6 linked regions of the Coturnix japonica genome follow. The main gene of each other region encodes a partner of the protein of the gene in region 6 in a complex. Links are inferred from orthologs where the notes say so. Each region holds a gene or a part of one and is shown on either strand. Other genes may lie near its edges. The genes, in order: PIGP, DPM2, PIGA, PIGH, PIGC and PIGQ.

The links.
Region 1: PIGQ (region 6) and PIGP share a complex: the UniProt entries of both Homo sapiens proteins name them as parts of the glycosylphosphatidylinositol-N-acetylglucosaminyltransferase (GPI-GnT) complex. The link is inferred for Coturnix japonica from reciprocal best matches to the Homo sapiens genes PIGQ and PIGP.
Region 2: PIGQ (region 6) and DPM2 share a complex: the UniProt entries of both Homo sapiens proteins name them as parts of the glycosylphosphatidylinositol-N-acetylglucosaminyltransferase (GPI-GnT) complex. The link is inferred for Coturnix japonica from reciprocal best matches to the Homo sapiens genes PIGQ and DPM2.
Region 3: PIGQ (region 6) and PIGA share a complex: the UniProt entries of both Homo sapiens proteins name them as parts of the glycosylphosphatidylinositol-N-acetylglucosaminyltransferase (GPI-GnT) complex. The link is inferred for Coturnix japonica from reciprocal best matches to the Homo sapiens genes PIGQ and PIGA.
Region 4: PIGQ (region 6) and PIGH share a complex: the UniProt entries of both Homo sapiens proteins name them as parts of the glycosylphosphatidylinositol-N-acetylglucosaminyltransferase (GPI-GnT) complex. The link is inferred for Coturnix japonica from reciprocal best matches to the Homo sapiens genes PIGQ and PIGH.
Region 5: PIGQ (region 6) and PIGC share a complex: the UniProt entries of both Homo sapiens proteins name them as parts of the glycosylphosphatidylinositol-N-acetylglucosaminyltransferase (GPI-GnT) complex. The link is inferred for Coturnix japonica from reciprocal best matches to the Homo sapiens genes PIGQ and PIGC.

Annotation. Positions count from the first base shown.
Region 1 is NC_029516.1:96,314,497-96,318,745, forward strand, and holds the start of PIGP (phosphatidylinositol N-acetylglucosaminyltransferase subunit P), read right to left. Parts: upstream 2,801-4,249; 5' UTR 2,683-2,800; intron 2,476-2,682; 5' UTR 2,457-2,475; coding exon 2,375-2,456; intron 1,123-2,374; coding exon 1,050-1,122; intron 509-1,049; coding exon 390-508; intron 1-389. Other genes in the region: E3 ubiquitin-protein ligase TTC3, read left to right, coding at 3,203-3,221, 3,328-3,413. UniProt on the Homo sapiens protein: Part of the glycosylphosphatidylinositol-N-acetylglucosaminyltransferase (GPI-GnT) complex that catalyzes the transfer of N-acetylglucosamine from UDP-N-acetylglucosamine to phosphatidylinositol and participates in the first step of GPI biosynthesis.
Region 2 is NC_029532.1:3,618,070-3,621,956, forward strand, and holds DPM2 (dolichol phosphate-mannose biosynthesis regulatory protein), read left to right. Parts: upstream 1-1,394; 5' UTR 1,395-1,492; coding exon 1,493-1,495; intron 1,496-1,597; coding exon 1,598-1,687; intron 1,688-2,320; coding exon 2,321-2,423; intron 2,424-2,687; coding exon 2,688-2,746; 3' UTR 2,747-3,387; downstream 3,388-3,887. UniProt on the Homo sapiens protein: Regulates the biosynthesis of dolichol phosphate-mannose. Regulatory subunit of the dolichol-phosphate mannose (DPM) synthase complex; essential for the ER localization and stable expression of DPM1.
Region 3 is NC_029516.1:109,991,564-109,995,810, reverse strand, and holds the start of PIGA (phosphatidylinositol N-acetylglucosaminyltransferase subunit A), read right to left. Parts: upstream 2,801-4,247; 5' UTR 2,537-2,800; coding exon 1,867-2,536; intron 1,322-1,866; coding exon 1,189-1,321; intron 1-1,188. UniProt on the Homo sapiens protein: Catalytic subunit of the glycosylphosphatidylinositol-N-acetylglucosaminyltransferase (GPI-GnT) complex that catalyzes the transfer of N-acetylglucosamine from UDP-N-acetylglucosamine to phosphatidylinositol and participates in the first step of GPI biosynthesis.
Region 4 is NC_029520.1:27,609,980-27,614,101, reverse strand, and holds the start of PIGH (phosphatidylinositol N-acetylglucosaminyltransferase subunit H), read right to left. Parts: upstream 2,801-4,122; 5' UTR 2,730-2,800; coding exon 2,553-2,729; intron 2,110-2,552; coding exon 1,900-2,109; intron 767-1,899; coding exon 683-766; intron 1-682. Other genes in the region: ARG2 (arginase-2, mitochondrial), read left to right, coding at 3,499-3,615, 3,700-3,772. UniProt on the Homo sapiens protein: Part of the glycosylphosphatidylinositol-N-acetylglucosaminyltransferase (GPI-GnT) complex that catalyzes the transfer of N-acetylglucosamine from UDP-N-acetylglucosamine to phosphatidylinositol and participates in the first step of GPI biosynthesis.
Region 5 is NC_029523.1:7,059,429-7,063,092, reverse strand, and holds PIGC (phosphatidylinositol N-acetylglucosaminyltransferase subunit C), read left to right. Parts: upstream 1-1,471; 5' UTR 1,472-1,799; intron 1,800-2,091; 5' UTR 2,092-2,168; coding exon 2,169-3,062; 3' UTR 3,063-3,164; downstream 3,165-3,664. UniProt on the Homo sapiens protein: Part of the glycosylphosphatidylinositol-N-acetylglucosaminyltransferase (GPI-GnT) complex that catalyzes the transfer of N-acetylglucosamine from UDP-N-acetylglucosamine to phosphatidylinositol and participates in the first step of GPI biosynthesis.
Region 6 is NC_029529.1:11,842,229-11,846,400, forward strand, and holds the start of PIGQ (phosphatidylinositol N-acetylglucosaminyltransferase subunit Q), read left to right. Parts: upstream 1-1,372; 5' UTR 1,373-1,475; intron 1,476-3,030; 5' UTR 3,031-3,056; coding exon 3,057-3,721; intron 3,722-4,172. Other genes in the region: NHLRC4 (NHL-repeat-containing protein 4), read left to right, coding at 1-320. UniProt on the Homo sapiens protein: Part of the glycosylphosphatidylinositol-N-acetylglucosaminyltransferase (GPI-GnT) complex that catalyzes the transfer of N-acetylglucosamine from UDP-N-acetylglucosamine to phosphatidylinositol and participates in the first step of GPI biosynthesis.

The sequences.
Region 1 (4,249 bases), on a different chromosome or scaffold from region 6:
TTCCAAACAGAGCAAGACCAACATCCCACCTGCCATACAAACTCTTGGGTTGGCACTAAATGAGAGGACGATATGAGAGGGATGTACACATCCCTGGATACATACCTAAGACTTGTTTCTCTAAGGTTGTCTGCTCTGCTAATATGGTACACTTTAGCAGTTGGAAATAACTGCCATAAGGTAACAAAGAAGCAGAAGTCAGCTTTTAGGATCTTTTCACTCTGGTCCTCAAGTATTTCCCAAGAACTTCTTTTCTATGTTAAAATATTTGAAAGCTTAAAATTTGATTTATATTATGTCTACATATGTGTATTTACAGAAATTATCAGTTAAATATAAAAATCTTAGAAAAAAAACAAGAAATACCCCACAAAAAAAAAAAAAATTACCTGTAATAGTATGCGTGGAGTTAAGTGGAGCTGTACTCATCATGTTAATACCAAAAAGTAATACATAACCAATTCCTACAGCAACTAATAAATACGCTGGCAAAGCAACTGCCCAGTACCTGAGGAAAAAGATTTTAAAGTTCATATATTTTCTAGTAACAAATGTCTAATGATGTAACAGTTTTAATGTAGTGGCTATTTTATCTAATATTTTATCTAATACTAGCTTTACCTATGGGCAAAGAAACAACACTACTACGTATGGATCATGGTTTCCCCCAGGAAGATACCTGACTGCAAAAACCAGTGTAACTACTTTGGCATAAACCATCAAGTAGATTCATTTACAGTTAGTTTCTATTTTTTATATTTATAGTTTAAAGGCTACTTTATGTTATTTGACAAACTCTCTGAAAGGAAAAATTCAAATTTATCATAAAACATCAAAATACCACCATCCCTCCCAAGACACAATGAGAAATGTTTATCTTAAATGCTTATCCACATAAAATAATGTTTGACAAACATTACATTCCTTTAGAATCAGAAAAAAACAGACATATTTTAGGAACAGTTTCCCAATTTCTTATCTGGAAATCATTACACATATCCAGGATTAACAGTTTGAGGCTGATCTTAAGAAATTAAGTTTGAGCTTACTTTTGAGGCCAGTATGTCAGTCCCAATGAGAAGAGCCAAGTCTCAGGGATGTACGCCCAGATAAGATACAGCACTGCACAGAAGAATAAAAAGAATCACAGCAGTTCAAACAATACCATTTTAGACTTCCTTCTTAAGTTCTTAGAGCAATACTCTCATACTTGGACATACTGAAACTACTTGGTTTTAGCAGAATTTAAACAAAAATAGCTCTACTAAAATATGGTAGAATACACCTCAGAAAAATCTTGTCTAGCATGAGGATAACATCCACTTATACAATAACACTTCTGTACTCTGGAAATACTTCCTGACTCCCCTACAAAGACAGCCTGAGAACTGGAGCTGTTCAGCCTGGAGAAGGCTCTGGGGAGACTTAAGAGTGGCCTTTCAGTCTCTGAAGGGGATCTGTAAAAAAGAAGGGGACAGATTCTTTAGGGTCTGTTGTGATGGGACAACGGGAAATGGTTTCAAACTAAAAGAGGGGAGATTTAGATTGGATATAAGAAAGAAGTTTGTTACAAAAAGGGTGGTGAAGCACTGGCACAGGTTTCCCAGGGAGGTGGTGGACACCCCATCCCTGCAGACACTCAAGGTCAGGCTGTATGGGGGCTCTGAGCACCTGATGAAGCCGTGGGTGTCCATGCTCACTGCAGGGGTTGGATTCGACAACCTTTAAGGGCTCCTTCCAACTCAAGTAAGCCTATGATACCCACTTGTATGGGAATTTGGTACTCACAGCCTGAACCACTGATTAATCAGCTGAGGCAAGTGTTGGGTCAGCTGTAGGAACACAGGTGAGAGTAATTTATCTGTGCTCCTGGAAGGGATGGAGCTTGACTCCACCTCCTCTAGACCTCATTTAAGGGCTGACCACCACTAAGGCAGCATCTCTTGGATGTTGCCTCAGCATTTCCCAGTGAAGGTATATTGGTGAGTTTTTCCTCATAAATAGCCTTTTGAATATCTGTCACCATCTCTGTAGCATTCTACCATACACCACTCCTCTCCACAATGGTTACTAAGCAGTGGCAATATACACAATTCAGATATAAGATTTACTAAAACTAGACTGCAGAGAGTTTTAAATTAGGTTTTATCCATGTTACTACAAAAGACAGCATATTGTAAAAGAAAGACAAAACACATTAGAATCACAGAAGGTAATGAATCAGCCCACAGGTTTGGGAAGTAATGCTGACTCCTCCACTGCACCTCCTTACACCGGGCAGTTCAACACTAAAATCACCCTTCCGAGATGGTTTAGTTAGAATTACATTTACCCTATAAGCAAAGTAACAGATTTCAGTAGCCAGCATACTTACTAAAGCCAAACCAAGATCCCAAAAACAGAGCAAATCCATATATTGCCCTTTCAGGCAGCGGGGCTGGAGAGTTCTCCACCATTATTCACTGCTCCTTCCCTCTAACTCAGGGAAGAAACAAACAACGGTAAGAAGAGGTCAGAAGGCTCTCTCAGAGCTGTGTTACGAGCAAGGGACAGGAGATCTGGCAGCCCGGCTACCAGGCGGCTACCCCAAGCACCGCTGCCATAAGGACAGCCACTACCCCAAGCACCGCTGCCATAAGGACAGCCACTGTGAAGAGGACAACGCCGCCATCACACACGCACCAGGCTGGCTACAGGTGACGGCCCTATACAGCCTGACTGACCGCGGCCATACAGTCCTCTACCCTCCCGACCCGGAAGGTACAGGAGGAACAACACCAGCCTCTCTCTTCACCCTGGATATCGCGAGTCTATGGGTCTCCTCCGCTCATGCGCAGTCACAGATAGGCAGCTTTCGCTCGCAGACTCGCAACAGCCCGAGGTTGTGCGGTTCAGTGAGCTTCAGCGCTGAGCTCAGGGCGGGTGGGTGCTCGGTCGGTCTTTTCTGAGGGCTGGTGAGTGCTTAAAGCGTCGGGTGCGACCCTTCCATCCCTGCCTCCCTCCTGTGCCTCTTTCCTTGCAGCAGGAGGGAAGGGCGATCGCCATCTCCCCGCAGCCCCCGGCTGGATGATGCCTGGGGTGGGACCGGCGCTGTGGGGCCGCTCTGCGACACGTCAGTAGGAGCCGCGGGGCTTCCGGGTGGCGGCTGTCAGAGGAGCTGCCGGGCAGGGCGGGACGAGGGGCTCGGAGGCTGAAGGATGTGATGGGTAGAAATAACACAGGTCTTCAGTGAAACTCTTGTAGGGATCTGGATGAGTCCTCTTAAATATGGGTTGTTTGCCTCTGGGCTCCCTCCTCACTGTATTTCTTTTCATCGTTATCTTTCAGGATCTCGAATCATGGGTGAACCTTTGTCTGACTCTGAGTTTGCGGCCTTGGCTGTCAGTGCTGGTTATAAGTCCTGCTGTGAATTGGTGAGTGGGTTTGGAATTCCATTGGGATTTCATAAAATCATAGAGTGGCTTAGGTTGGATCTCACAGCCCACCCAGCCCAACCCCAGCCATGGGCAGGGCTGCCCCCCACCAGCTCAGGCTGCCCAGGGCCCCATCCAACCTGGCCTTGAGCACCTCCAGGGATGGGGCACCACAGCTTCTATGGGCAGCTGTGCCAGCGCCTCACTGCCCTCAGTACAGATAAAGTGACTTTCTGATTTGTAAAGCTGTATCAGGTTTGGGGCTTAGGAAAAGGTGGTAGGGCCCTGGAACAAGCTCACCAGGACATGGCACCAAGTCTGAGGGAGTTTGTGGAGCATCTGGACAAACTCTCAGCCATAGGGTTTGAGTTTTGGGTGGTACTCTGTGGAGCCTGGGCTTGGATTCAGTGATCTTTTTGTGGATCTGACTCATGATATTCTATGATTCTATGACCTGTACTAGGGACCATTAGTAGTAGTGTGTCGCATTCAATTTGTTTATATCACTGAAGATATTTTCTATGCTATGCGCAGAATACAATACTTCAACAGTTGTGTTAATATTCTAAACACTCTTTAAAGGAATGTATGTTCTATGCTATACCTTCAGTATCTTCATTGATGACCTGGATGAGGGCACTGAGTGCTCCCTCAGTAAGTTTGCAGATGACACCAAGTTGGCTGTAAGTGTTGATCTGCCTGGGGGTAGCGAGGCCCTTTGGAGGGATCTGGACAGGCTGGGTAGCTGGGCTGAAGCCAATGGGATGATGAGGTTCAACAAAACCAAATGCTGGGTCCTGCACTTCAACCATGAGAACGCCAGGCAGCACTACTGG
Region 2 (3,887 bases), on a different chromosome or scaffold from region 6:
AACCTCACTCCAGGTACGCTAGAGCACCGAGGTGAAAGAAAACCCCTCCTGGAGAGGGGCTGCCTTGCCCTCCCCTCACTGCCTTACCTGGGGGCTGCAAACTCACCCCCCACCCCCCTCAGCCCTTCCCTCACCCCTCCTGTGCTTTAGCTGAATAATACCCTGGTGACTGAGCCCTGTGGACAAGGCTGGTCCCCAGGGGTGAGTTACAGCAAACACTGCCTGGTAGCAAGTGTTTGTGCTGCAAAACCACTTCCTGGATGCATTGGGGGGGGGTCCATGTAGATTTATCCCCCCCTTTTCCTCCCAATGGGCTGATGGGGGATGAGAGGAACATGGGGTAAAGCTTCGAGCTCGAGGTGTGGCTGAGCCTATTCACTTTGCCTCAACCCTAAGGATTAAATGGCAGAGCCCGTATTTTTGTGGTGGGGGGGAGGGAAGGGGAGATCCTGCTTTATTTTCGTGAGGGTTGTTGAGCCGGGTGACGTTTGGAAACTCGATTTATATCAGATTCTATAGAGAGATGGCTGATATTTTTGGAAAGGGAACGGCTCTATGCAAACATCCACCATCGTTAGAAGAGAGCAAAGTAATGGTGGTGGGCTCTGAGTTGGTCGGTTGGTTTTTACTTTGAAATCTTAATAAATCTCTTTAACTTTTTCTTTCCTTTCTTAAAGCAAAAAGGTGTTTAGAAAGAAACGCTGCTCCACTGCTGTGTGTAATGGTGATGGTGGCAGCTCGGGGCTGGCGGGCAGGGCTTGTTTTGCACCATTTCTGTCTGGTTTGGGTCTTGTTTCTTGTCAGGCCGCTGTGCCGTCATCGATCCAACAGGCCGTGTTTGTATCTTCTGTATCTGGTTCCTAACGTAGAGAAATAACAAATATATGAGGAAATCAATATCATGGCAGACGTTGTTTATTGGGTTCGGGGGAAATAAAGGTTGTTTTTTTGGTACTTCACACCGATTTTCCTGGTTTGGTTGTGGTCTTTTTGTGGTTCTAAGTATTTTATGGGGGGGGGTTGCCCTAAATATCAGCTAATTACCCCAGTTGTGAGAGCCCTGCAGCATTTTTTACCCTAAATATCGGCTAATTGCTGCAGGGCTCTCACAAATGGGGTTTTTTTGCCCTAAATATCAGCTAATTGCTGCATAGTTCTCACAAATGGGTGTTTTTTGCCCCAAATATCGGCTAATTGCTGCATGGTTCTCACAATTGGGGTATTTTTGCCCTAAATATCGACTAATTGCTGTAGGCCTCACCACTAGGCCCCGCAGCTCTTCCGAGCACCTCGGGAACTACAATTCCCATCATGCACCGGGTGACTCGTGCTTTCCCACAATGCTTTGCGCTCTTAAGCCCTTCCCACAATACTTTGCGCTCTGAGCGCTCTTCCTGTTTCGGAGAACACGTGGCCAGTGTTCTGCTCGCTGGTTGGTCGATCGCTCCCGGAAGAACGGGGAGGGCGGAAGTGCCGTGTGGTGGCCGTCGCCATGGTGAGTGAGGCTGCGGCCTACGGCCCGTCCCGTCTGTACCCGGCCCTGCCGCCCACACGGAGCCCTGACTGTCTGCAGCCCTGACTCTCTGTCCCTTTACAGGCTACAGCGACGGACCAGGCGGTCGGGTTCGGTTTGGTGGCCTTCAGCCTCGTGCTGTTCGTGTACTACACGCTGTGGATCATCGTGCTGGTGAGGGGATGGCGCTGGGTTTGGGCCCTGGGATGGTCGGGCCTGCAGGCCTCGTTTAGGAGCTGCAGGAGCTGGGTGTGCACTCGGTGCTCCACTCAATGCTCCTCTATGGAGGGAACTGGGCTCAAACCTGCTGCTGCTGGAGGACTTGGGTTCCCCCCCTTGATGTGCTCCCAGCTGTAGGGTCGGGTTCATACAGTGCAGGAGTCATTGCAATGCACTGTAGCATCCAAAGTGTCCCAGCCATGAAAGGATCCATGTGACAGAGGTTGGATGTCAGGGGGAAGTTCTGCACTAGGAGAGTGGTGAGGCCCTGGAACAGGCTGCCCAGGGAGGTTGTGGATGCCCCGTCCTTGGAGGTGTTCAAGGCCAGTTTGGACGGGGCCCTGGGCAACCTGATCTAGTAAAGGCGTATGTTTGGTGGCCCTGTCAGGCAGGGGGTTGGAACTACATGATCCTTGAGGTCCCTTCCAACCCGGGTCATTCTGTGATTCTCCACCACCTGCAGGTTCAGACACTCTTTTTTTAGCCGTCCCCTCCAGCCCCATGTTTCTGTTCTGCTTTTGAAACCCCACAGCTGCACGTGTTGGTGACTTGCTCTCATGTTGTTAATCCCCTGCTCTGTTTCTGCAGCCCTTCATTGACAGTGAGCACAGCATCCACCAATACTTCTTGCCCAGGGAGTACGCCGTTATCATCCCCGTGGTGGCTGGGCTGCTGCTGCTGCTATTTATAGGTGAGTATTATTCTGGTCGCTCTAATTAGAGGCTTCTAAATTAGGAAGAGAAAAGAGACACTTGTGCTGTATGTGGTCCCTGCAGTGGCTTAATTTGGCACAGGCGTTTGTGCGCACACACGTGTAACTTCAGCTGTTTATTCCTATGAGAATTAGAACTGTTTCTTGTGCTCTGCTGAGGTTCCATTATTCGCTGTGTGTGTTTTAATGGTGCTTTTCATTTGAAATTTTCGGGTTGAGTCTGTTCTCTCTCATTCCTGGTAGGTGTTTTTATAATGGTTGTGATGTGGAAGAGCAGAAAACCTGCCCGGAAATCAGACTGAAGGCCCAGCTGAGAGATGGAGAGAAGGCCCCCAGCCTGCAGCACCAAGCAGCCTCCTCCTCCAGAGCACTCAAAGCAGCAGCAGTGCCAAGTGGCTGCTCTTTCTCCCACATTCCTTCCTCAAAAGACACAGACTTGTGTAGTTTACAACTTACAGACTAAAGGGAAGCAAATCTGACCCGTGGGACTCACCAGGAGAGGGACCAGAGCTCCAGCTGGACAAATGTGCACCCCAGCTGAGACTACGTGCAGCAGCTTTGCTGGGCTGGGATCCAGCAGCTCTAATTGCAGAGTGTGAGTTCAGTTCTGGCCCCCAGCAGCTGCTCGGCCTCTGGATACTCTTTCCCCTCTTTGCTGCATACGGTAGTTTATTCCTTCTGGGATTTTCTTTTAAACTGGAAGAGCTAATGATGGTGCTGTGAGCTCTCGTTTCTGATGAGGGCCCTGTGAGCTGCACCCACCTCCCCTCCTACAGTCACCCCACTGAGGATGCAGCATGACCTGGGTGGCAGAGGAAGCATTTAGCTCCCTTACCAATGAATGTCAGCTGCAGTCTGGGCTCCTGCCTGCACTGGGTCAGCCCTGAGCTCCTGGTGGCTATAGTGAGCTGCATTCATCCTCAATAAAGTTCTCTGAGCTCTTTGTTCTTCCATGTCAAGTGCAGAGCTGCAGCTCCAGCCTCATTCCCCAGCCACCCCTCACCCCTGCAGGGAACACAGCCCCCCATTGTACTGAAGGACCTTGATTTCTAGGGCCAGTCCATCACCCTGTCCCAATTGCAGCTGTGCAGAGCTTTATTCCTGGAGAAATACAGGAGGGGGCAGCTCCCGCTGCCTGCCCAGGGCTGCCACAGGGCCCCAGTTGTGCATCCAGCTCCTGGTGTGGGATGAGCACAGGCTGCTATGCTGCAAAGGGCAGCGCCCCTATAAATATCCCTGTTGCTGTGATGGGAGGTGGCTGCTCCAGCTGAAGGTCACGGCTCTGAGCATGAATTCCTTCTCAGCACACAGCGCTGTGCCCCCAGCCCAGGCACATTGTGGGGTCTGCAGCCATGGAATGCAGCCCTGTGCTGTGTGTGTGTGGATCCCTGAGCTCCACTTGCTGTGCCTGTCAGTGCCATCACTGTCAAAGAGTAGGAACCA
Region 3 (4,247 bases), on a different chromosome or scaffold from region 6:
AGAAGCACCTATAAACATAGGTGTCTTATCAGCATTGTTTTTCTCCTAGAAACAAAACATAACATCATACCAGACACTCTGAAGAAAGCAATTCCGTCCCAGGTGAAACTAAGATACATATATACTGGAAAATGAGTTCCAATGGTGCGTACACATAGAGAGAGAAGCAACACAGACACCTTAGTTCCATTTTCTCTAAAACTTGATCAACAATAAAGAAATACAAGACCCTCTTGCTTTTATTCCAAAGAAAGTTGGTGGAGAAGGAGTTGCCTCTTTTTGTTTCATGAGCAACCACCTTCATAATACTACTGTCTGATCCTTCTAGCACTTCACAAGAACACAGCTTCACAGAATTAATAACAAAGATTCATTTCCCTTTCTCTGTTTAGATACATTATCTGAATTTTCAGTGCGAGGCGTGACCAATGTCAAAGTCTAAGGTAAAAAAAAGAAGTGTATATACTTAGAATAGCAAAGATCAAAGACCATCAGTTTGAAGAGACACTGTGAAACCAGAAGAAAGAAAAACACAACTAACAAACAAGTATCTTACATAGCAGAGAGGAGCAGATGAAATAATTACTGACTGAGGTACTGGAAAATCAAGAACCTGGTATTTGCTGTATAAAAAAAACTATATACAACAACAAAGAAATATTCACAGACATGACAGAAACATTTGGTAACATTTAATCCAAGGAACATGTCTGCAGCACCACAGGAAGACATAGTAAATAAGTCCTGGCCTGAAGAGTTTCAGACTGAAATTAGAAAAGTTAAAAATAAAGTAAAGCAACGGTTTATTATTTATTTATTTATTATTTATAAACGGTTATTTAAACAAAATAAAGTAAAGCAACGGTAAAGAGGAAGCTTCCAGAATTACTAGCAATGATTCTCACAGATACCATCAACATGAAGTAGCCATCTAACAGTTCTTGCCACGTAGTGATACTACAAGTACATTAAGAGTGTGATAAATTCAGATTTTCTCTGACACAAGACAAGGTTCACATCAGGTGAACTTGCAAGATCACAGTCCAACTCTGGAAGTTCTCAGCACTTGGTCTTTCTACCTTGCCTTTGGTAGTTCTCATCTTCTCTAGTTTTTGAGGGAAGGGGGCAGGGAGCTGCTGTCTTTCCCACCTCTTAAGTACAGTGATTATAAACATGCTCAGAACAAACCTGTCATGTAGCTGGTATCTTTCCCGCACTTCTTCGAGTACAATTCGTTTTGGTCCTTCTCCTCCGACTAGGAAATGTAACTCTGGATACTTCTGACAGAGCTCAGGAATTATACCACTAAGCAAATCTATACCTAAGAACATAAAATATAAGGCAAGATGTTATTGTATTGGATATTAGAAGTTATACCACCAAGAAAATCTAGACTTAGGAGCAACAAAATGTAGAACAAGCCATTACTGTATTTGGTATCAGCACTCATCATGACGTAGCCTGCTGCTATATTCCCCACTGTCTTATCATTATTTGCCCATGTACAAAGATGCTCTCCCTCCTGTTTATAAGCTCCCCTCACGTTGAGAGGCCACAATGAGGTTGCCCCAGAAGCCTTCTCTTCTCTAGGTTGAACAAGCCCAGCTCCCTCAGCCTTTCTTCATAGGAGAGGTGCTCCAGCCCTTTAAGCATCCTCATGGTCTCCCCGGCCCTAATCCAAAAGCTCCACACCTTTCTTGTGCTGCAGGCCCCATACCCAGATGCGGTAAGGTAGTAAAGTAATAGAAGCCAAGCTTTGCACTTTATGAATTTCAGTTTACAAATCTCAGTATCACAAAAAAAATACACCTCTAAATCCAACATGCGCAAATGGGAGTGATATATACAATGGACATTTTTTGCTACCTTTTCTGTAAACAAGCCTGCTGACCACCACAATCGTTACGGTGCTGTCATCCCTCCTGGATGGGTCTGGGGTGAAATCAGTGGGATCCACAGCATTAGGGATGACGGAGACGATGCGGGGGTCCAACGCCGCTCGCAGCACCGTGTTCTCCTTACTGGTGTAGGAGACGCAGATGATGTGGTTGGTATCGCACAGGGACACGGTCAGAAGTTTGTTGGTGAGCACCGAGCTGACGTCCGCAAAGCCAAAGAGCGAGTGGTCAGTGAACACGGTGCGCAGCCCCATGGTCTTGGCATGGAAGAGCGCGTCGTGCGCCATGGCTGAGAAGGAGCTGTGGGCATGGACGATGGTGACACGCTCCCGCACAAAGATGTACCTGAGCAGAGGCAAGCTGTGGAACAGCGTGGTGGCTGTGGACTGGTTGTACATCACCCTGAGGGGCAGGTAATACACCTTCAGCCCGTTGGTCAGGTAGCGGACGCCCTTACGGCTGCCGTAGGCGTGGGTGACCACCAGTACCTTGTGGCCACGCTCGATGAGGCACTGCGACAGCTGATAGATGTGGCTCTCCACGCCGCCCATATTGGGGTAGAAGAAGTCCGACACCATGCAGACGCTCTGCGCTCTCCCTGCCCCCATCCTCCCACAGGGGCAACGACGAGGTGCCATCACTCTCTCCCGGCCGCCCTCCGGACCCCAGCGGGCCCCTCGCCGTGGCTGGGCCCGGCCATGTCCCAAGCACAGGCCGCACTGCCGGAGGGGCACGCAGCCGCCGCGGGCCCTTCAGGAGAGCGCTCACCTCCAGCAGCCGCCACCCGCCTGGCAGGGGGGGCCGCGCACGTACCTGCCGCCCGCCGCCGCTCGCTGGGCGCTGCCCGCCGCCTTCCCATATCCGGGCACGGCCGCGTCACCGCGGTAACAGCGAGGCTGCCTCGCCCGGCCCCCGCCGCCCAGCCTCGGCCAATCGCCGCCCGCTGTCGAGTCACGACCAATCGAAGTCGGTGGGAAGGGCTGAGGGAGAGGAGGTGGCGGTTTCGTTTCTTCCGTTGTTCACCTTGTGTGTGAGGAGTCGCCGCCCCGCAGTGACTCCGCTCTGGAACCGCTTACGCAGTCGTTATCCAGGCAGGGCACCGAGGTGTCTCGGAGCAGATAGGTTAGCCATTGAGATGGGGAGGATCTTGAGCTGCAGGCCTCACCGCAGCCATTCTTAGGGTACACTGACCTCATTGCAGCCTTTCAGTACCTGAAGGGAACTTACACCCAGGAGGGGAGTAAACTCTTCGAAAGGGCTGACAGTAGCAGGACTAGGGGAAATGGTTTTAAGTTGAAAGCGGGAAGATTTAGGTTGGATGTTAGGGGGAAGTTCTTCACTAGGAGAGTGGTTAGGCCCTGGAACAGGCTGCCCAGGGAGGCTGTGGATGCCCCGTCCTTGGAGGTGTTCAAGACCAGGTTGGATGGGGCCCTGGGCAACCTGATCTAGTAAATGTGTATGTTTGGTGGCCCTGCCAGGCAGGGGGGTTGGAACAATGTGATCCTTGAGGTCCCTTCCAACCCGGGTCATTCTGTGATTCTGTGATAGATGGGCAGCAGGATGCTGGCATCACTTGGCTGAGCCTTTCTGATCTTACCCCAGTGAGCTTTGGAATCAGCAGACACCAGTTCAAGCTTGTCCATTGCTGGCTGCCAAGACTGGATGTTATCACAGCAAGCTAGAGCTGTTCATGACTTCGTTGTATGTTCCCAATGTTTTCTTTGGCAGCTGCTTCTCCTTGCAAAGATTTCTGGTATGAATTTTGTCAGGTTCAATTCTATCATCTCTCCTATGTGAATATCTAGAGCATGAGCTGACCTAGGCCACAGTGCTGGTTGGGTTAAAGCTTGGACAGCCATTGTTTGGAGGTGCTGACTGCAAGAAAGAATAAGGGAAAAAAAAATCAGCTGACGTGTTGGTGTGTTGAATGAGCCATTGCTCATTGTTTGAGTCTTTTCCAGTGTTGAGCAAGGTGAGGCCGGTATTGGTACATCTGACATCATCATGTAATGCTCCTCCTGGGTGAAACACCTGGTGGGAACCTGAATTTCAAGATATCATCGAGCTGTGAAAAGAGCCAGGGGAGCTGGAGGCCATAGGGATCCTAATTCTCAGCAGAAACTGGAGTCTGGATATAAGAAGTTTGCCTTAAATAAAATCCAAGAAAAAAAAACAAAAACACCAAAACAACAAAGTTGTATAGAACAAGGAAGAAAGCGCTTTGAGGTTCTCATGTGCAGCACCCTGTAATGTGATCCCTGGCAAGTTATGGTAGTAACCTGCTTTGGGGTCAGGCTGAAACACAATGTTGAAATGTTCCTTGAACATCTCCAGGGTTGGTGACTCCAC
Region 4 (4,122 bases), on a different chromosome or scaffold from region 6:
AATCCTAAGTGCAGCCCTCCAAGTTGGGTATCCCTTGGACATAGATGAAATACCTCACTTATATTGTTGAGTTAGGTATACAAAGAGAGAAAGAAATTTAATCCCCAAAACAGGATTATGAACAGCCAAAACAAGTTAGTGAGAGTCTGAGCAAAGCAGAGCATGAGATAGGCAGGGTGTGAATAAAACAAACAAGTTATTATACATTAAGCAAATTGCTCACAGCTTGTACTGTGATCTTTGTCAGCGGATGTAGGGGAAGTTACCATTGTAAACCAAGGAAATTTTTATGAAATCTTTTTGGCACAGAGAAACAAGAGAAAAATCAACTACAGCACTATAATTATAAAGGTTACGCTGAGCATAAGATCACACAGAAAGCTGTGCAAGTCCTCATTACCCTCCATGAGCCAAAAACTTCTACTTCCTGCAATCTGCTGGTCAGGTTCACATTTATGCAGCGCACTATTCTCTGCATGGAGGATAAATGAACAAAACTTCCCTGGTGCTTCACTTTGTGAGACTTGAATACCGCTCACAGCACACTGCTGTAAGATCCAACTTGAATGTGCGGTCAAAGAAAGGTGGCCATAATCAGCTGCGTGTGGTGAAATAAATGTATGACAAGGCCTCTGACATACATATAGATACTTGTAGTGCCCCACTATTCAGTCATGCTCACCTGAAAGAGTGGCACAACCTCAGACACTCCCTGAGGATCCTGGGGGTCCCGCAGGAGGATGCAGAGGTAATAGATAACTTTTTGCTACAAGACAAACAGACAAAATAATTGAAGTCTGAAAACACTATCAAAGTGCCCAGAGTCATCACAGGAAGAGGAATTAGTTCAGCCCAGTGAGTTGAAACAAGTGTTTCAATGACATTTTCATTAAGATAAATCAGCAGAAACATCTGTGTTTCAGGAGGGTAAATATTCTTGCTACAAGGTTATGAATAAAGCAGCTTGAAATCAGTCCCCTTCTCTTTTTTCCTGTTTGCGTTCAGCCTCAAAAATAGCAGGATGGTTTTGCTCCATGAACTTATTGTTTCTAGTTGAACAGGTGGCAGGTGGGTTTTCAGAGAACCCATCCCTTCCACAAAGCCATTCTTCACCCAAATCTACCTGAGTTACTGACATTCAAGATATTACTAAACATATTAGCAACAAAATACACAGGAAAAAACCAACAGCACAGGATTTAAACATTCCTGCTGACAACGCCTTTCTCTTATGCTTTTTTTTTGATGCAGAGCATTTTACTAATTACCTGTTTTGCCTTTCTAAGAAGTTACACAGTGTTGGAGCACGTTGAAGATTGTGGGGACTTAGTACAGATTTGTTTTCACCTATGATGATTTCACACACATCAGTGACAATGTGTACAACCTCAGTTCTCCGTAACTGTTTGAACTCAACAGTGATGGTGGCACAGCCCACCAAGTCTTACATAAAACTGACAAGTAAGTGCAAAGGCTTTTCTGCCTCCTTGCATATAATGAGAAACCTTTGTTTCCTTTTGCTAGAAAACTTTATACAGTTCTATGCAAATCTCCAAGACTTCCCAGAGTGCTCTGCCAGCAAAACAACTCTTTTGGATAAGTTTAGCAGGAGATGACTCCAGGCTCAGGTACATTAAACTGCTGGATTTATGGGTGTCATGTTAAAGAGGTATCACAGCTGCCTGCTTCAGCCTTTCATGGAAGTTACAGCTTTCCACCCTCCCCTCCATGCAAGCAGTTTGGTGCAGAACATCTGCCATTTCCCCATCGCTCCAGACTGCAGTCAAGTCTATGTATTTGTATTTATGCTGCTGTGTTCAACTGCACTGCTAAGCCACTAGGTGAATATACACAGTGGTGAGTGCGCCTGCAGGTATACAAGAAAGACAGTATGATTACCATGTGGATGGCTTCATTGATAACCACGTCCTTCACTTGGCTCATCTCAATGAAGGTTGTGCTCTCTTTCCCCGAAGCGTAGGATGAAGTCACCTGGATGCCAAGTGAGCCGATGACCAGCAGGGATTCCTGGTCAATCTTCACAAAGTGCAGGTAGATGATGAGGCCGATCAGCGTGAGGAATATGGCGGCAGAAAGCACCATACTATTCTGTAACACAAACCAAAGACAGAGCTCTAGTCTTAAAACCAATTGAACTTAGACCAATATATAAGTAAATGCTGAACGGTAAATCATAACGTAGTGGCTACATTTACAAGGTGATTTTACATAGGTGGAGTCCATTCATTCAGAAGGTTGGCTGATACGTGCGTGATGGGATTTAAGTCACCAAACATCAGCCTTATAGGATGGTCTGAAAGAACGACTTTAAACTGAAACCAGCAAGAACATTGTATTTCCTTGTAAAGTTACTGGAGAAATCTCATCCAAATGCAGTTGTATACATCAGTGACAGTATATTATACGGCCAAAGACCTGGTAACGAAGCCTAATGGTCTTCAACCCACAGCTGCTTTCTGGGGTATGTTTCAAAGGGTTCCAGACCACACACACCCATCAGCCCGAGCCGAGCGGAGCGGGGCGGGGGGTACCTGGCAGAGCACGAAGAGCCCGTAGGCCGCCAGCCACACGGCGGAGGTGACGGCGCTGAGCGAGCGGAGCTGCAGGCGGGGGCAGCGCACGGCCAGCTCCCGGCACGAAGCGCTGTGCTGCCGGCACCGCAGCCACAGCGGCGCCCCCGACGCCGAGCGGTACCGCCGCTCCTCCATCGCACTGCGCCCCGTGCACACAGCAACGAACGGAAGGAAGGGAACGGAAGGGAAGGGGCGGGCGGCGCGTGCGCGTGGGGAGCGGAGCTGCGGTAGTCAGCGGGGCCGTGCTGGAGCCGTGGCTTTAAGGGCTGTGGTTGCGTTGTTCTCGTATGCGCCTCTTACCATGGCGGAGCAGGGCCGCTGTTTTGCTCCCCGCTTACCCCTCTGCCCCCTCCGGTACCAACTTTCTGTGGGCAGCTGCCTGCATTCATGGCAGCTTCAGAATCCCCGCGTGGATGCCTCGTGTGAACAAAAGAGCGGCGGCAACGGGGGCCGAATGGCTGGGGGTACAAACAGTGAAAAGAAAAGGCCTGTATAGGCTGAAAATGGGGCGCTAATATTAGAGACTGGGGCTGAGCTTTTTTACAAGGAGAAGCGTTGCTAACAGAGCACGGCTCCTCAGCCGACATGCCGACGTGCCGTCGCGCTGCCCGCCGTCCCCCCTCGCATCGCACCCCGCCCGGCAGTGGAAAAACCCCAGCGGCAGCGGCACGGCCGGGTCTCGCTAAGGGCCCCGCGCGGCTCCGTGGGCGGGACACACCTCCGGCCACGCACGCCGCCATTGGCCCAACGGCCCGGGGGTGTGCGGGCGGGGCGGGGCCCGGCGGTGCGCGCGGAGCTGGAGCCGGCTAAAAGGAGCGGGGCGACCGCGGTGGGCATCACTGGGCACCATCGGCATCATCGGGCACCATCGGGCACCATCGGCTGTTTGAGCATCTTCTGCACCATGGCTCTGCGCGGCGGCTTCGTGCGGCTCCTCCGCAAGCGGGCGGATGCGGGACTGCAGCTGTCCCGGCGGGCGCACTCGGTGGCGCTGGTGGGCGCCCCGCTCTCCAGGGGGCAGGTGGGCGCCGGGCCGGGCCGGGGGGGGCTGTAGCCTGGAGCCGGGCGGCTCTCGCTAACGCGTCCCTTTTTCTCTGTCTGACAGAAACGGCGCGGAGTGGACCACGGCCCCGCTACTCTCCGCGCCGCGGGGCTGGTGGAGCGGCTGGCCGGGCTCGGTGAGACACCGCGGGCCGCGATCCGACTCGTCCCACCCCCATCGGGGCTCCCCCTTCCCCGCGCACATCGGGGGGAGCGTGACTCAGCCGCGCGTTGTGCTGCGCCGGGGCCGGGGGAGGCTGCGTGAGGGGCTGCCGCGCCGCGCCGTGCCGGCCGCCCATCTCCCGTGCCGAACAGCGGCGCTACCTCGTGGGATGCCCGAAACAAAGGGCTCGCTGCCGCAGCCCGCGTGTCTTCCCGGCTCCCGGGGGCCGCATCCGCTCGGCAGCGGGCGTGCGCTGCTCCCAAAAGCCAGAGGAGCATCAGGCCGCGTAGGGAGCGTTCCGCGTATGCAGCCAAGGGATGCCCT
Region 5 (3,664 bases), on a different chromosome or scaffold from region 6:
GTGGCTTCCTGGTGTGGTCCTATTTGATCCTAAGGGATGCTCACAGGTTGTTACCCTGAGATGGAGCAGTGAGCCATCCCCTCACTCTGAACACAAACCTGTCCCCGCAGTTACATTTGCCCCCAAGCAGCCCCCCACGCCTGCATGATTTTGTACTGTTTCTGCTTTGCAGGGAAGAAATGACCCTCATCTGGGTGTGCGGCCACACTGAGGGTGGTGGGAAGCTCTCCTGGGCAGATGGGGAGGGGACTGCAACTGGTGATGTTTGGCAGGGACTGCGTGACCCTGTGTGGGAGAGTGACTGCTTTCATCTCTGGCCAGCCGGCCCTCATCTACAGCCTTGATGCTTGGCATAGGTAGACTGTGGCACGGTCCCAGAGCTCCTAAAGTCCTGATGCACTTGTGCTTGGGCAGAGGTAATTCTAGGGTGTCCAGAGGGGCCTCCACATGCTTCTGCATCCCAGCATAGGGATAGACCTATCATGGAGACCTGTTTTCCTCCCTGTGTGCTACAGATGTGCCACGTACAGTGTGGGCTGAGCTGAAGTAACCTGGGCAGCTGACTCTTGGCTTCCTCACACCAGGCGCTGCCCAGCTCACAGCTGGCAGGGCACAGCTTTGGCATCATTCTTGGAGGCAATTTCCTAGGGACTGCAAAAGAAAAAAAAAAAATCATAAAGAAAAGCTAATGAAAAAGCAAAAGCTTTCCCACCACCATCACTGCACAGACATCTACAGAACAGGAACCAGTTGTCCCTTGCCCTCAAGCTGACTGAGAATCCCAGCAGTTCCACCTTGTTCTTCTCTCATCATGGCTGCCAGGGGAGTTTGGCAACCCAGGAGCTCTGAATCCTTTGGTATTCAAACACCTCCAGCAGAGGCCTAGATCAGTCACAGCTATTTAAATCCCAGCCTGTCACCTTTTCCAGCATGGCTTCCAAACAGCTTTTAGCAGCATATTGCAGCGCAGGAGCCCTGCAGGAAATAAACACGTCTGCAGTGGGGTCAGTTGTGCAACACACTGGCGAGCAGTGAGCTCTGAGTGGGTCTGAAATGCAGGTGGGGTGGGTGGGGAAGCAGTCAGGTCCCCCAGAGCTGAGGTTATGGCAACAAGTGCTTCACAGTGCTGACTGTGGGGCAGGATGGGTAGCATGGGTAGCAGCACCCAGTGTTTCACTGTATGAGGGCTGGGCCAGTCTGGGGTCCACATCCCACCCCTGCAGCTGGTGAGGGAGATCTTGTTGCATGGGATGAAGACACACACGAAGCAGTTCTCATCCTTGACCTCAGGCACCACTCGGGTGTGACGGACCGTCCCTCTCCCAGCTGCTCTGCTGTCCCTGCCAAGGCCACGTCACCTCGGGTGGGCTGAGGGGTGACTGCACAGCACGTGTTCCCTCGACTGGCAGGGACAGGCGGTGACGTGGCCGGTCCCATAGTCACAGGTCTGCTGTGCAGGTGATTCATTCCCCGCAGAGCCTAGGAGACCTGGAGGGCTGAGCTGCCCTTTAGACCTCGGGCAGAGAGTTGTCCAGCGGGGCACGAATGCACCATGGCAGCAATAGGTGCCGCATCTCCCCATTGCCGAGGCGCTGCGGTCACTCACAGCAGTCCCAGGGGCAGGCGCCCCATCGTGCTGTGATGCAGCTGCAGGCAGCAGTGGGCGGTGAGCCGAGAGGAACGCGAGCAGGAAGCAGCGTCAGTGCACGATGGGTGGCAGGGGGAGCCCATCGCTCCCGGCTCACCCCGAAGAGTTAACTACATGTTGTCGGCTCGGAAGCGACCTTATTCCCCAACAAGTACGAGACCGATTACAGTCACCTGCCCGCACACCGCCACTCCCGGCCCTTCTCCTACCGGCTCCGGCCCCGGAGGCAGCGACACCCGCGGGCAGCGCCGCGCTGTGCGGCCGGGCAGCTCCGCCAGGGGGCGGCTCCGAGAGCCCCGGCGTCCATTGCGCCGCGCCGGGCCCGGCGGAAGCGGCGGGAGCGGGGAGCGGGGCGGCGGGTTGGGAGCGGGGAGGGGGGGGTGCGCCCCGTCCTCGCGGCTGGAGCTCACATCGCGGTTAACCCGCACCTCGCTCTTTCCCAGGGCCCTGAGAGCAGCCCCAGGCTGTGAGCGGAGGAGCGGGGCGCTGTGCCGGCCTCCTCTGGGCCGGCCCTGGGAGGATGGTCTGTGCGCAGGTAGAGACGAGCCCGAGGCGGTGCTGGCAGAAGGTGCTGTACGAGCGGCAGCCCTTCCCCGATAACTACGTGGACCAGCGGTTCCTGGAAGAGCTGCGGAAGAACATCCACGCCCGGCAGTACCAGTACTGGAATGTGGTCTTCGAGTCGGGGGTGGTGGTGCAGCAGCTCTGCAGCGTGTGCGTCTTCGTTGTGACCTGGTGGTACATGGACGCCGGGGTGCTGAGCCCGCAGGGGCTGTTTGGGGCGGCCCTGCTCACTTCTCTGCTTGGCTACATCCTCTTTGATGCCATCGACGCCGGGGTCGGGCGGCAGGAGAGCGGGCGGACGCGGTGGGCAGACCTGAAAAGCACGCTGGTGTTCACTGCCTTCACCTACGGCTTCTCACCGGTGCTGAAGACGCTGACAGAGTCCATCAGCACAGACACCATCTATGCCATGTCAGCCTTCATGCTCCTCGGCCACCTCATATTCTTCAACTACGGTGCCAACGCCGCCATCGTGTCCAGCACGCTGTCCCTCAACATGGCCATCTTTGCCTCGGTGTGCCTGGCCTCCCGCCTGCCTCGCTCCCTCCACACCTTCGTCATGGTCACCTTCGCCATGCAGATCTTCGCCCTCTGGCCCATGCTGCAGAAGAAGCTGAAGGCCCAGACACCGTACTGCTACGTGGGGGTGACGGTGCTGTTCGCACTGCTGGCCCTTGTGGGGCTGGCGAGCGTCTCCAGCGTGGGTGCTGTGCTCTTTGCCTCACTGCTGCTCTCCATCTCCTGCCTCTGCCCTTATTGCCTCATCCGGCTCCAGCTGCTCAAGGACAACATCCACGGGCCGTGGGATGAGGCTGAAATCAAGGAGGACCTGTCCAGGTTCCTCATGTAGGCCTGGCCAGGGGGAAGCAGTGCCCTCTGCTGTGAGGGGCCTCTTTGGGACACAGCTCCAAGGGGACACCTAATCCAATAAAGACTCGCGCTCTAGCAGGGAGTGCATCTGTGTGTGTTGTGACTGCGCTGGGCTGTGGGTGAGCAGGGAGGTGCTGGCAGACCCATGGCAGTATTTTTGTCCAGCCACCGAACCAGAGGCACAAAGCAAAGTCTCTCTGCTTTCCTGTGGTGGCCGCCCAGCCGCAGGGTGCTGCAGCTGTAATGGGAGCCATGCTGGTCCTTCCTGGAACAGTCCAGTGTCTGATTCCATGCACCCCACAACAGAGGGTCCTCTAAGCCAAAAAGTCAAACTGGAGGGCATCTCCAGATGAGCCAGCCCTGCTGTGCTGTTGTTTTCCAGAGGCAAGTGGTTCAGCAGAGCATGAACTTGGCCAAAGTTGCAGCACCCCAGGCTTTTTGGTCTCACCAGAGCCTTCCTGGTGCTGGGCAGGAGGCCGGAATTCAGGGGCACTCACAGACCTGAGTACACTCACACATATCTTGCATGCACAGCCACACTGCCATGTCCATCCGCATACAGCAGCATCTCTGCAGACTGTG
Region 6 (4,172 bases):
GTGGAGACGTCAAGGTGTTCATGAGCAGCCATCAACTCGTCTGCTCCCTCAGCAGCAAATACAGACACCAGTTTGGCAACCCAGCAGGGGTGTGTGTGGACACGGAAGGCAGCGTGGTGGTGGCAGACGAGCAGCACCGCACTGTCCATTTGTTCCCAGAGAACGGAGCTCCCATCTGCCTGGTATCCACAGGGCTGCGGAGGCCAACTGGCGTGGCCTGCTCCCCCTTTGGGCAGCTCTTTGTGGCAGACACAGGTGAGAACTGTGTGAAAGTCTTCAGGTACCACGTGAGGCCCCGACAGCCCTTGGGCACCTTCTGACAACCTTCAGAGTGGGGCCGGTCCCACCACAACCCTGCTGAGCTTTGGGTCCACTGGTGGGTCACAAATGAAGGTATTCCCGTTGTCCCTGCATTCAACCACATTGTTGGCATCCAGCTTTTCCAGAGGGCAGAAACAAGGATTACAGCAACAGTGGTTCAGCTCTACACCTCTTGGATTCACCAGAGCAGCTAAAGGACTGAGATAAGGCGGTGGGCATGGAACAGCCCCCCCATGGCAATGGGACACAGCTGTCAGACACAGGGTTTGGGTTTTGGTGGTGCTGTGTGGAGCCGGAGGTTGGTATCCATGGTCCCTGTGGGTCCCTTCCAACTCTGGCTCCATACAAATGACTTTGTGTTGGTGTATTGCAAACTTATCGCCATCCTCTCGTGTGTCTTTTCAATGAAATAATTACATCTCTTCCACACGCTCCCATTTATTGTGGCCACCCTGATGTCCAACGCAGAGCACAGCCAGAGGGGTAAGGCCAGGACAGAGCCGAGTCTGAGATCCCCTCCAGGAGACCATTAAAAGCAAGGTAACGAATTCCATGCCGCATTCCTGACCTCTGCAGGGAAGCAGCAACTACTGCACGGAGCGCGTTTCCTACGTGCACATCCCATTGCTCGCACAGCCGTGGGGCTTCGCTATCAGCAGGGCAGAGGGAAGGGTGTTTTCCTCTCCTGCTCTATCTCATGGCAGGACAGGCTGCCCCACTGCTCCAGGGCTGTTGCTGACAATTTAGGGTGCTCAGCCTGGCTGTGTCCTGCACTCTGTGCTGCAATCTATGCCCTACAGCTGCCAAAGGCGTTTATCCCTCATTGTAAGCACATCCATCCCGGTGGGTGCCCCTTCCCATCGTGCAGGGTCAGAGCACAACGGGAGGCTGCCAGGCACCACGAGGCACCGGAGCCGAGCACGGCGGCCACATGAGATAGTGAAACCGAGCGCTGGCGCTGCTTATCTCGCAGGCTCAGCAGCAGCTGCGGGTTATACCAGCCCTGTAAGGGTGGGAGGAGGGCAGCGCTGCGGGGTGAGGGGCTGGAACCAGCACCGCAACGGAACGCGGGGCGCGGAGCTGCGGGGCCGGCCGGGCTGAGCGCGGTGCGCAGGCGGAGCGTGCGGGCAGCCGGAAGCGGGCGGTGCGGAGCGGTAGGAGGAGCGGGACCGGAGCGGGGCTGGGGGTGATGGTGGGGGGGTGCGGTGCGGGTGGGGTGCGGGTACATGGCGTGTGTGCTGTGTCTGCAGGCATGGGGGCAATAACGGCAGCGGGAAGAGCTCGGGGTTCCCAGGAACGGATTTACCGGGGGCTCCTTCCCACGTCCCCTGCACGGTTAGGGTTACGGTTAGGGTTTGCTGGGAAGGGCCCCCCCCCCATCTCAGCTGTCCAGGGCCCACCCGTGGCTGTGGGCACCGAAATCATCCCTCGTTTAGTTTAAAGCCATCCCTCCCCAGCTCCTGTCGCCGTCTGCTGGTGATGTGAGCAGGATGTCCTGCTTTTCCATCTGTTTGGGTCTTTTGGTTGGGGTTTAGTGTTGCTGTTCCCCTGTTGGACTGCAGGTCCCTCGTCCTTTCTGTGCCTGCTGTGCTGCACCTTTCTGGTCTCAGGATGTCACACCTGCCAGTTTTCTACCCTTCTTTTGCTATGTTTTCCCTTTCCAAACTGAAGCCCTTTGGACAAAATACAGGTTATTTGAGGCTCTCCCACAGTGCTCACAGGCTCCACATCTCTGCAGTTATCCATGGTCATGGTGATGTCATTCCCACTGTGGGCTCCCAAAGCTGCTCTCCCCATGGGCTGGAGCCCCCAGTGCCTGCAGGTGCTGTGCTCAGCACCCTGAGCACCCTGATGGATGGGATGCACTGGGGTGAGCTGCACTGTGCTCCTCCATGAGCCATGTTTGCAGGACTGTGGGCTTGGGAGCAGCTTAACCACTTGCCTTTGCTGCTGCATCACTGCCTGCACAGTGATGCATTCCACATCCATCCCACTGCAAACTGCCCAGTGCTGAGATTTACTCCATCAGTTGTGCAGTGTTAAAAAGGGAAGAAAGAAACCAAACCACGGGGACCTGCACGTTGTGCATCCTCTGTGCATGTTATAAATACACTGCGTTCCTCTTTCCGACTGACTGGGTCCCTCGCAGAGCAGCCAGCCTGAGGGGCTGTGGAGTTTTCACATCTCTAACAAAGCACTGAAGGACAGAAAAGGACAACGGGTGCCAGATGTCGATTGTTCTGTGCGAGTGTTCTCCTTACAGCAATTAGATTTCTGTTAGAAACCTGCACCTTATTTAAAGGGATGTTGTCAGCAGCCCTGAAGCTCCTTTTAATAAAAGTCTTAATGAAGCCATTGAGATATTTTCTTAATGACATCAAGGAAAGTACTTCAGATACAGTGCACTGATAAAGCAGAGATGCCTCTCCTGCTTTGGCATCTTGCATCTAAGATTGTATTGTATTGTATTGAAGCTACTTGGTAAACTTGAATCAGTCAGTTGTTGCAGCCTGCTTGCAGCAAACAGTCTTGTCTTTGTTTCTAGTTGATAGGAGGGGATGAGCTTTGTGGTTGTGGCTGTTGGGTGTGTTTGTTACTGAGCTCAGCTCCGGGTGACAAAGGAGACCTCCTTGCTGCTGACTTTGGCCAGCTCACGTTTTCCTTGCATTGAATCACCATCCCAGGTTTTGTTTCTGTCTCTGCTGGCAGGTGTCCCGTTACCAAGGATTGCTGGCATGGTCCTTAAGGTCTTCTTTCCTTCGTGCTGCTCCTCGGCAGAAAGCGGCATTTTGATCGGCCGCTGGATCCCAGAGCAGAGCTCTGCTGTCATCCTCGCCGTGGTCCATTTCCCCTTTATTCCTGTTCAGGTGAAGCAGTATCTCAGGGAAGTCCAGCAGGTGACTGAGGTCGGCATTTCTGTGCTCGGCTCGTGGAACAACAGCAAACAGGAGAAAGAAGAGAGTTTGAGTGAGTTCTTGGAGGACCTTGGGACGATATTCTCTCATGAGCCGTGGATTCAGATAAGCAAAGAGGGAGACAGCAAATTCTGGAACTGTTCTACCCTTCAGAAACAGTCAGACAACCACAGAGAAGAAGAAATCATCTTAGTGTATTATGACCAGCGGAAAGTCATGCTTTCCCATCTGCACCCCCCTTTGGACACGGCTGACCTTGGGGCAGAGGATGCCTCCAAGCTCGCTGCCATCTTTAACACAGTTGCAAGCAGCAAGGTGCTCTTCATGACAGACAGATACGATGATGGGCCCATTAAGATGACCCACTGGCAGTCAGATGGCGTTGAAGCAAGTATCATTGTGGAGCTGATGAAGCAGGCCTCGGTGCCTGCCTGCATGCTGCTGACATTCCTGCTTTCACTTGTCTCTGGGGTCTGCAACAGCAGGTGAGTGCTGCAGCTGTGGCCTGCTTGCATTTGGTGGGGAGATGTGATTTGTGCTTCATGAGGTTCCTGCTAAAACTCTTGTTTCTATCAGTACCAGCCACGTTGCATCTCCTGGTACTGCTTCCAGTTTCACGTACCTTGGAGACAGCCAAGAGGCTGATACTTTTCTGATCTCTGAGATCACTGGTGTGCAAAAGGATGGGCTCCTGGTGACAGGTGATGTGAGCTGCAGCACAGCTCCTCTCTAACCATAGCTGGTTCTGGATCAGTCTGATGGATGTTGGGTTCTGTGGGCAACAGCAGGCTGAGAATCTCCCGGATAAACCTGCTGTTGGAAGCAGGCTGTTGCAGAGCTGCTCTGAAAGCATGGGGAGCAATGCTGAAAGCACAAGGCAGAAACCCTTGGACACGTGGAGGTGTGGGTTGGTTGATTTCCTGGGGAGGCACTGAG